Callithrix jacchus: one gene and its partners. Each later gene encodes a partner of the first gene's protein in a complex. Links are inferred from orthologs where the notes say so. Each region holds a gene or a part of one and is shown in the gene's direction. Other genes may lie near its edges.

Evidence for each region.
Region 2: HYPK (region 1) and NAA50 share a complex: the UniProt entries of both Homo sapiens proteins name them as parts of the N-terminal acetyltransferase E (NatE)/HYPK complex. The link is inferred for Callithrix jacchus from reciprocal best matches to the Homo sapiens genes HYPK and NAA50.
Region 3: the proteins of HYPK (region 1) and NAA10 are in contact, whole or in part, in a crystal structure (PDB 6C95), measured with the Homo sapiens proteins. The link is inferred for Callithrix jacchus from reciprocal best matches to the Homo sapiens genes HYPK and NAA10. Residues at the interface, in NP_057484.4 of Homo sapiens: Lys27, His28, Ser30, Gly31, Asp34, Leu35, Arg37, Val38; in NP_003482.1 of Homo sapiens: Glu24, Tyr26, Lys29, Tyr30, Tyr33, Lys59, Glu134, Lys136, Tyr137.

Annotation. Positions count from the first base shown.
Region 1 is NC_133509.1:31,465,196-31,468,358, forward strand, and holds HYPK (huntingtin-interacting protein K), read left to right. Parts: upstream 1-1,274; coding exon 1,275-1,436; intron 1,437-1,779; coding exon 1,780-1,835; intron 1,836-2,160; coding exon 2,161-2,212; coding exon of another isoform or gene 2,213-2,220; intron 2,221-2,350; coding exon 2,351-2,446; 3' UTR 2,447-2,519; downstream 2,520-3,163. Other genes in the region: SERINC4 (serine incorporator 4), read right to left, coding at 1-154, 544-645. UniProt on the Homo sapiens protein: Component of several N-terminal acetyltransferase complexes. Inhibits the N-terminal acetylation activity of the N-terminal acetyltransferase NAA10-NAA15 complex (also called the NatA complex).
Region 2 is NC_133516.1:103,481,986-103,486,334, forward strand, and holds the start of NAA50 (N-alpha-acetyltransferase 50), read left to right. Parts: upstream 1-1,428; 5' UTR 1,429-1,674; coding exon 1,675-1,682; intron 1,683-1,834; exon of another isoform or gene 1,835-2,259; intron 2,260-4,349. UniProt on the Homo sapiens protein: N-alpha-acetyltransferase that acetylates the N-terminus of proteins that retain their initiating methionine. Has a broad substrate specificity: able to acetylate the initiator methionine of most peptides, except for those with a proline in second position.
Region 3 is NC_133524.1:149,842,079-149,844,834, reverse strand, and holds the end of NAA10 (N-alpha-acetyltransferase 10), read left to right. Parts: intron 1-2; coding exon 3-47; intron 48-1,082; coding exon of another isoform or gene 1,083-1,219; coding exon 1,220-1,304; intron 1,305-1,820; coding exon 1,821-2,102; 3' UTR 2,103-2,168; downstream 2,169-2,756. UniProt on the Homo sapiens protein: Catalytic subunit of N-terminal acetyltransferase complexes which display alpha (N-terminal) acetyltransferase activity. Acetylates amino termini that are devoid of initiator methionine.

The DNA of each region.
Region 1 (3,163 bases):
TTTCCACTACTGTCCTTGACAGCAGGAGGCAGCAGATTGCTGAGGCCCCCACATGGAGGAAGATGTAGAACAAGCGGCTGCAGGTGGATGCGGTGAGAAAGGGCCACCTAGAGTGGCAGCAGCTGGCACAAGGAGCAGGCCCACAGCAGCACACCTGGGGGTAGAGCAGATGCAAGGCGGCGAGGTGGACTTGCTGAGGAAAACCATATGTTAATGTATGTGTGAGGTTAACCCAGGAGGTTGAATTCCAAAATTTCCCTGTCCCCTTTCTTCCTTTGACTCAGGTTCTGTTTCAAGTTGGTTGCAGCCATTTGGGATTGCCTTCCACTGACAACTTACTAGGGGTTTCATTACAAGCAGGCTTCAGATATCTGACCTTTCTCTAGACCTAAACACCTGGGGCTGGGAACATAGCTGGATAGAGTTACAGATGACCAGGGGCAAAGAACCAGAACGACATTAGAAAAGAGGCCTGTCGTTTTTATTGGCTTCTGCAAGTTTTCCTCCCCAGCTTCAGCCACTCTCCCCTTTGTACCCTCTCACCTGACAGAAGGGGTTTTTCACTAGGACACTGCTGCTTCCGCTGTGCTGCTGTGCCAGACCCAGGGAGGTGCTGGGGCCAGGGCCGGCCTTGGCACCCACCATCCTTGTCCCAGGGATTAGGCTTAGGTCCACCAGATGGAAGGCAGATGAGAGCAGTAGCTGCTTCTTTCCTCAGCCCATTGGACTTCCACTGTGCTGGGGCTGAGCACCGGGTCGCAGGCAGAATGGGGACATCCGGAAGACAATGCTGACCTCCAGGATGCGGTAAATGCAAATGCCCTGTGAAGGAGTTTTCTCCTCAGGGCCTCATCACTGGGACCACTGAGGCTCTTCTCTCCAGATTAGGGGCTGTTTGTCTATCTGGTCTCTTGTGGATTAGCATTCTTAATTGGTTTAGGATTAGACGTCACCCATTCAGGTTGAACGGAGTTCCCTGAGGTAGGTGCGTGTGTATGTAGTGAGGTGACTGTTCTAGGTTAAGACGGGGGAAGGTGTCGGTGGGGCGGGCCGGAATGGTGACGGGTTAGGTATGACAGAAGACCTTGCAGAAGACAACACTGTAAAAGCCCTAAAGGAAGTCTAAGACAACCGCCTCCCTCGCTGAAGCTTCTAGAATTGGAGCAGAAAGAAGGTGTGGCCCAGGGCCAGCCCCGCCTCCTCCCCGGGCGGAAGTTGTCAGTTGCGGAAGTCGCCGTGGGGTGGGGCTTATGCAGCGGCGTGGTGAAATAGATATGGCGACCGAGGGGGATGTGGAGCTAGAGTTAGAGACCGAGACCAGTGGCCCAGAGCGACCTCCCGAGAAGCCACGGAAACATGACAGCGGCGCGGCGGACTTGGAGCGGGTCACCGACTATGCAGAGGAGAAGGAGATCCAGAGTTCCAATCTGGAGACGGTAAGGTTGGCCAAGAACGTCTCGGGGCGGGCTGAGAGCAGAGGGAGGCTCTGAGGCTGTAGCTGGAAGCCGGCGCCCTAAGACGGGATTCTGTTCCCCATGGCAGGAGGCGGCAATAGGATAGAACCGAGGGAAACAGCGGTCATCAGAGCCCGCCCTTGCCTAAAGAAGCTTGATAGTGGGCTTAAGGGGACCTCAGATGCATAGAATGGAACTAAACATAGTCCTTGCTACATGGTAACACTTATCTTGAATTCATACATGAGCCGCTTGTTTTATTGGCTTTTTAGATTATTGGGAATTGTGGGTAGCAGAGCAGTAACTAGACCTGCCTTTCCCATAGGCCATGTCTGTGATTGGAGACAGAAGGTCCCGGGAGCAGAAAGCCAAACAGGAGCGGTGAGTCTTCAGTGGTAGCCACCTTTAACAGTTCTTCCCTCCCCACTTCCCAGACAAAAATAAAAAGCATTATTAAGACTTTATACCGTTCTTCAACTTTATCACCAATTCCTGTAGATCTAGGCGCCATAACTTTACTATTCTAGTTAGCAGAAGGCCTTCTGGCAACACCTGCCCCCCAGACTTCAGGGGAAAGGAGTATTAGTGGGAGTTTTCAATCAAGTATTTACCAAGACTTATTTACAGAGCACATTTGGGAATGACCCTTCCTGGGAGTTTATGGTGTTTGTTGAGAATGAGGACTAATCTATTTAAATATTTGCAGGGAGAAAGAACTGGCAAAAGTCACTATCAAGAAGGAAGATCTGGAACTGATAGTGAGTAGTAGTGCCTGACTCTAGCGTATGAGCAGGGGAGGTTGTTCTACTTGGGTTGTTTCCTGAAACAAGTGGAGTCAGTATATTCGGTGGCACATTAGTGCCTGGGAACTTATCTAACATGATTTTTTTCTGCAGATGACCGAGATGGAGATATCTCGAGCAGCAGCAGAACGCAGCTTGCGGGAACACATGGGCAATGTGGTAGAGGCGCTTATTGCCCTAACCAACTGATGTGTGCTTTCTTAGATGTACCTACTGGATTAATTTATGGCAATAAATTTTTTTTTGTCTTTTTGCAGTTTCATCATCTTGGGTCCAGTGCAATATATACTATATTTTTGTGTGGGGAATTTATATGTTGGGGAATAATTGACTTTAAGTGACTCATTAACACCTTGGCACACCTATGTAAAAAATCAGTGAAGAATACCTTATGTGTAGATGCCAGGTGGCAGCCCAGTCTCATTCATCTGACTAGCTCTCAATAGTATTCAAGGTACATATGGAGTCTCAGCAGAGTTACTGTACTCAATGGTATGTGTCTCCAAGGTAGCTTATGAATATCTAAAAGGCCAGCTCCCTGCCTAGGAACCACCATATATAGGTAGATATAAGTTATGAACTCAGTTCATAGGCCACCTTGAGTTAGAATTTTGGTACCTACAACATGCTTGATTTGGAGTGATCAAAAAAAAAAAAAGAAAAGAAAAGAAACAGCTTAGGGGCCAGGCATGGTTGTTCCTGCCTGTAATCCCAACACTTTGGGAGGCTGAGGCAAGAGGATAATGTGAGAGCCCCACAGTTTGAGACCAGCCTGGACAACACAATGAGGCTTCATCTCTACCAAGAAAAAAAAATTTTAGGTACCTGAGGGTTAGAACATGGTAAGACTAGAAGATATCAAAGGTTGGGCAAGGTGTGGTGGCTCATGCCTGTAACCCCAGCACT
Region 2 (4,349 bases), on another chromosome or scaffold:
TGAGGAAGCACATTCGGAGGGAAGCTTCACAGCGACTCCGCAGTCAGGGCCGTATCTGACAGTCCCTCCCAAGCCCGTCTCACCGGAGACGCCTCTGCCTGCAGGGTTTTTGCCTCCTCCCCGCTCCTCAGCCCTGAGCTGAGGGTAAGGACGCTGAGGATCTCTGCCAAAGAATGGGCGTTAAGGAACAGGACCTAGTGTCTACTGCAGACCCTGTGGAACGGCTGAAATAATCTGCTACCCGAAGCCCCAAAGGCTCTGACTACAGAATCATCATGGCCGCACTCACTCCCAACCCTGGGAAAGGTGGACATCTCAATCCCCAAGTAGCGGGGCCGACCACACTTGGGGAAGGGGGAGTCAGGGGAAATGAGCTCCTTGCCCCTGCAGGGTGACAGCGGGGAAGAAGCCTCAGGCAGGGAGGTCGCCGTTCACACTCTCCCTCCTCTCTGCTCTGCCTTCTTCTACCCCTTTTACCTGTTCTGCCCCCACCACTCGCCAGTCACCGGCCGCCGCTCACCTGCTGGGGCGCGAGGTGCAGAGACGGTACCGAGCGAGGACCCAGAGGCTCTGTCACCACGGGCGGGGAAGTCCTCAGCTGCAGAGGAGGGGGGCGGGTCCAACAGTCATGTGACGTCCAGCTCCGCCCTGACTTCCCTCATCCCATCTCGCTACAACTTGGGGGCCCGTATTTTCACAGATTCCTTGAATATTAATCTCCTTAGATTAAAGAAATAAAGATGAATTTTCACAAGGACCGTGTTGTAAAGTACAACGTGGAAGACGCGGACAGCAAGGGCTAAAGCGCACTGCTAAGGAAGTGACGTTCACGCCGCTATCGAGGGACAGGAAATGGCGGCGGGGTTCCTTCCCTCCGGAAGCCGCCTGTAAAATTCCAGGCTCTGAGGTTGGGGTCCATCACGTGAGCTCAAAACTGGAAGCGTGCTGGAGAGTAACCGAGCGATCGGGCCCATCGCTAACTACGTCTAATTGTTTTAAGACACCTAACTTACCTGAGCTTTCCGCAGATTTATTTACATTTATTAGAACCAGCCTTACAAAACCCTAGTGGAAGGCAAGAGCGTTTGAAGGTCACTCTGGAGACCACACACCGGGAAGAAGGGGTCCGAGAAAGACCGATCGTGCGGATACGAGGCAGGAGAGGAAGGGGTGGAAAAATCTGGGTTTTACCGCCAGGGCCTACCGAGCCAGCCACACAAGTAGTGTAATAGGTGGGAGGGAGGAGAAGGACGCCGGAAGCTACAGTCCGGGAGAAAGATGGAGGCTCCGGGGTGGAGGGGGCAGGGTGCGCGGGGGCGAGCAGTGCGGCTGCGCGTGAGGCGGCGGACGCGCCGGCGCGCAGAGGGGCGGGGTGAAAGGTCACCGCGCGGCGGCTGGTCTGGCTGGCGGTAGCGGCGGGAGGGAGCTGAGACCCGAGCGCACGTGTGGGGAAGCGGCGGGACCTGCGCGGCGGAGGGAGACAGCCCCGCCCCCACCGGAGATTTAGGCCCTCGCTCGACTCTCGCGGCCTTCGGCGCTAGCTCAGCTCCTTGCCCCGGCCAGGAGGCCGGCTTGCGGGGTGGAGTGGTCCGAGCTGAGGGCGCGGAGACCGGAGGGCGGCGACGACGGCGGCGTTGATATCGGTGGTAACGACGGCCTCAGCAGGCGGGGAAGATGAAAGGGTGAGAAGGGCAGTTGGGCAGGGCTCGGCCGGCGGGGTAGAGGGGCCCGGGCGGGTGTCGCGGGGGAGAGCCGCGGAGGAGCGGAGTCTCGGGGCGAAGACCGGCGGAGGGAGATTTCTGGGCTTCTCAGTGCGGCCGCTCCCGGAGGGGGCGGAGGCGGGGCGCGGGCTGTTGGCGGGCTGAAGGGCCAGCGGAGCCCGGACCCCAGGGTCCCGGGGTTTCGGTCCGGAGATGAGTGCGGGCTGAGTGAGTGGGGCAACAGGGAAAGGCTACGGTGCGGCGCCTGCGGCCCCCTCCCGGGGTTGGACCACCGAGCCGCCCGGGCCGCCGCTCCAGGTGGAGTCGTTCGGTTGGTTTCCGTCTCCAGCCTCAACTCTGCAGCGGCGGTGTTTGGTTCACGCTCGGGAGCGGAGCCGAACCTTGCGGAGGAAGAGGAGGTTGGAATAGAGCGCAGAGCGCGGGGACGAGTATTAACAGCTAGTGACTCAACTAGATTTGGGTTGGGTCACAGCGGGGGGGGGCACGATCACGGTGGACTTGGGGAGCCAATATCTTCCAGGAAGTACCGCGTGGATCGGTAGGTGGCGCTATTGCTTTAGCAGCTCACCGTTGCCCCGAGTGCCGAGGGCTTCCTGGGTACTTTACCACGCTGCTCCCTTCAGGTGATCGGCAGACTAAATGTTCGCTCTTTCACCGTTTGCCTCTTGGATAAAATCAGGAATTATTTTCTATCGACTGCTTAAATTTTATTTTATTTTTTTCTTGAGATAGAGTCTCTGTCGCCAGGCGCCAGGCTGGAGTGCAGTGGCACAGTCTCGGCTCACCGCAACCTCCGCCTCCTGGGTTCAGGCAATTCTCCTGCCTCAGCCTCCTGAGTAGCTGGGATTACAGGCATGCGCCACCGTGCCCAGCTAATTTTTGTATTTTTAGTAGAGACGGGGTTTCACCATGTTGACCAGGATGGTCTCGATCTCTTGACCTCGTGATCCGCCCGCCTCGGCCTCCCAAAGTGCTGGGATTACAGGCTGGAGCCACCGCACCCGGCCTCGACTGTTTAAATTTTTACGAAATGTCTCTTTAGCATTAAGTTATATAGTTCTAATATATTAATTACATATATATTAATTACATAACGTTGTTCCAAAGCATTGCCTAAATAAGCCGTTTTGGAGCTTGTCTTTACCCTCAAAGAAAGGAAGCTCATAATCGTTAGCAAGTTCTCTGCAATGCCTTAGTTTGTTCTTGTTGTAAATCGATTAGGAAATCGTAACTATGTTTTAAGTTAGCGAAGCCGGTCCAACTATTCAGCAGCCCTTTTGAGGATGAAGTAAAAGTCATTTTCAACGTAATCTCATACTGCCCCAAATAAGGACCTACATATTATCTCTGTGTATCAGTGTTCGAGATTATTGGAGAAATTCCAAGAAAATTTAATTTGGTCTTAGGTCTGTAACATGTTTCCTTACTCTAATTTTCCTTTAAATACTGGATATTCTAATGTTGAATAGTATGTTTTGTATTAAGAATCTTTGAAGTTTAAGAACCATGAACTGTTCACCATACCTGCATTGTTTCACTTCAAGTTCTAGAGAGTTCCAGTTAGGGAAATTAATTGATGAGTATAGGAAGTATTTGCTCCACTTGAGTCATAATCTGGGAAGCTTGGCTGTATTAGATACAATCCAACATATTTGGGGAATGTTGTTTTTCTGCTATGCTGCACTTCTTTTTTTTCTTCTTCCTTTTTTTTTCCCCCCTTCGATACAGGGTCTCACCCTGTCACCCAGGCCAGAGTGGAGTGGCTCGGTCTCGGCCCACTGCAACCTCTGCCTTCCTCGCTCAAGCAGTCCTCCCACCTCAGCCTCCCGAGTCGTTGGGACTACAGGCGCGCACCAACTCTCCTGGATAATTTTTGTATATTTTGTAGAGACGGAGGTCTCACTATGTTGGCCAGGCTGATGATCTCAAACTCCTGGGCTCAAGCAGTCCACCAGCCTCTGCCTCCCAAAGTGCTAGGATTACAGGCATGAGCCACCACGTACAGCATATACTGCACTTCTGGAGCTGGTTGCTGTCTCTTACTCATTTTTGTTCTCATTGTCAGGCCCTTAGTACTTATTACCACGTTCTGTTCAGTAAGAAAAATGAGACCGAGGAGTTCCCAATATTGAAACTGCCATGGATTTACAAAGGGGGACTGCAGGAAATTATTCTGTATGTTTAGATCCAAAATCTTCAATCTAGTTCAGTCTCCATCGGGTGTAATGTTCTTTCTGATCGCTAACTTGGCAATAGAAATGAGCCAACCAGTCATATTATTCAGTCTGCCTTTAAGATATTCATGGAGCAATTTATCTCTGTTTAAATGGATATTTACATGTAACCTGATGGAGACAGAGCCCTAGAAATGAGTAACTGGCTGAATTTAGAGGAAACTTAAAATTATTGCATCTGTATCTTTATGCCAGTAACTATGCCTGTAAAGTTTCTATTACTTCTTGTGACTGGGAGCTTAGAATTGTGTTCTTTACAGTAAACCTTCAAGATGATTTCACAGGAGTAATCCCTTTAACTTAAAAAATGAACTAACTCCCAGATGAGATGAAACTTTAATTTTTTTTTTGCTTCTAAGTCTGTATTTAAGACTCTCAACAAATGAGTTGTGTG
Region 3 (2,756 bases), on another chromosome or scaffold:
AGTAACCGGGCCGCCCTGCACCTCTATTCCAACACCCTCAACTTTCAGTAAGTAGATCTTGGTGTCTGTAATGGGTTGGGGCTGGTCCCAGGTCTGGCTGTCAGGGCCGCTGAGACCAGCTGAGCTGCTTTCCAGGCAGGGGGTGGGCTAGCTACGGGGAGGAGGCTGTGGATCCCAGCGCTGCCAAGATGCCTCCCCACTCACTTGGTGGCTGATGGCTGAAATGTGCTCCATGTGTGTTGTGATGGAGGAGCTCTGGCCCATGCTGGCTGAGGCTGGTGAAGGGCACAGGGTTGTTTAGTCATGTTTGGGAATAGAGATGTGTGGGTCTCTGGCATGAGCAGATGCTAAGGAGCAGGACTCTGTGTGACCAAGCGCCTGGAAGCATCTAAGAGAGAGCAGAAGCAAGGAGAATGCATGTTCAGGAAGAAAGGGCCGGCGGCCAGGCAGCCTAGTGGATGGGGCAGGTCTGCCGAGGACCCGGAGGCCCCGTTTGCCTGGCCCAGGAGAGAGAACCTGGCAGTCAGTGTGCCCAGTAGACAGTGGAAAAAAGTGCTTGCAAGTGAAGCTGGGGTGGGCTACCCGTGTGCCCGTGGAGGGATGCTAACTGCACTCAGCACCAGTTTGACTGTTGGGAAGGGCGGTGGCCTCGGCTGGGTGCTGGCAGGAAGGATCTGTGACCCAGATGAGGATGTCTGGTGGAAACTGCTTTATAGTGAAGTCAACAGTCCTCATGTCTGAGGTCTGACAGGGCCAGCCTTCCAGGACATGGCCACCCGAGCCTGCACGCGTGCCTCCCCAGTGCGGGCTGGGCTGTGCTGCATAGGGATGCAGCCCTCAAACGGGCTCACCCACGTTCCTGTATTTTCATCACTGTGGTGAGGCAGCTCAGTAAGGGATAGGAAGCAGGGCAGAAAGGGAAGGGGAAGGCTGAATTCAGGGCTTCAGCTCACAAGAAACCACAGAAGGGGAATCCTTAGTAGCCAGGCTAAGGACACAGAACAGGAACAGGACAGGGGTGGGGCGGGCCACTGTTACCTGGAGCCTTTACTGGAAGTGGGGCCACTGGAGGATTCTTTCAGGCTGGACTTGCTGTCTCAGGATGGAGCCTTCAGGGAGAAAACATGTCACCTTGCTTCAGTAGCCATGATGCCAGGAGCAGAGGAGGATGTGTCCTGGGTATGGGTCTTCCTCCTTGCTCTCTGCCCTCTGCCCCCAGGATCAGTGAAGTGGAGCCCAAATACTATGCAGATGGGGAGGATGCCTACGCCATGAAGCGGGATCTCACCCAGATGGCGGACGAGGTGAGAGCGCTGCAGTTTAGCCAAGCGAGGCCAGTGGGGTCGGCCCTGTGGGCGGGGGGGAGGTGGCGGCACTTGAGAGCCCTGGGACAGTGGCTGGAAGCAAGACCAACTTTGGGCGCCAGCCCTTGTGGCCACATTGCCAGGACTCACGGCCTCAGTTTCCTAGGCTGGGCTTTAGAGGAGGCTGTCTGCCTAGCAGCAGCCTGGAGGGTGGTGGGAGAGGCAGACGGAGGAGGCTTTTAGAAGGGAAGTGGGACAGCCTGGGACCAGTGGGTGGCCTGCCTGCTCAGAGGTAGTTCTGAGTCAGGGTTCTGCCCAAGGTGGCAGGGCTGTTGAAGGGGCAGCACTCGGTCGTGGGGGCCTCCATGGTAGTCAGTGAACCCAGGGAGCAGTGGGCAAGGCTCCAGCCAGGTGTCCCCACTCAGTCCCGTGTGTCTTTCCTAGCCCTGCTGCTTCTCATTATGCCCGTCCCCTCAGCCAGCGACAAGTCCAGGCTCCCCTTGTCTGGAAACTTAGGCCCTGTATCTTTGCTCCCGCTTCTCCCTGGGCTCCTGGCGGCAGCTGAGGCGGCACCTGGAGCTGAAGGAGAAGGGCAGGCACATGGTGCTGGGCGCCATGGAGAACAAGGTGGAGAGCAAAGGCAGCTCACCTCCGAACTCAGGAGAGGCCTGTCGTGAGGAGAAGGGCCTGGCTGCTGAGGATAGTGGAGGGGACAGCAAGGACCTCAGCGAGGTCAGCGAGACCACAGAGAGCACAGATGTCAAAGACAGCTCAGAGGCCTCCGACTCGGCCTCCTAGAGCCTGCCCCGGCCCTTCCTCACCCCACGAGCTTTCACAATAAATTCGCTCTATGGCACTGGGGAACTTTGTGTGTGTGTGTGTGTGTGTGTGTGTGTGTGTGTGTGTGTATGCGCACGTGCGCTTGCACATTTAGAAGGTGTGTTTCTCCAGCTCCTCTGTCTGGTGGGGATGTGAACCTCACAGCCTTTTAAGCCAGGGCATCCTGCCAGGCCCGAGTAGAAGGGAGGAGCTTTGTGAGAGCCTTGGGGGTGGGACTCCCCAGTCTCATAACCTTCAGCAGCTGTGGCCCCAGGGAAGGAGGCCCTAGACTTCCGGGAGAGACCCTGCCTCAGAGGCCTGCTCGGCCACGCCGAATGTGTTTTGTGCAAGCCTCGGCCGCTCAGGCTCAAAGCTCAACAGCGGGCTCCCATTCTTCAGTACTTCTGCTTGGCTCTTGAGTGTCCCACCTCCAGCCCTTTTCTCTCCTAATCACACTTGCTTTGGGCTACAGCAGCTCCACTACACCCCGTGGGCTTCAGATGTAGACATCCAACTGCTCATTGGGCCTGTCTACAGCTGTCCTGTCTGAGTAATGACCCAGCCAGATGCCCAGTTGCTCAAGCCCTGTCAGTGGTCCTTGAGTCCTCCCTCCCCTGCTACCCTAATGGTCAG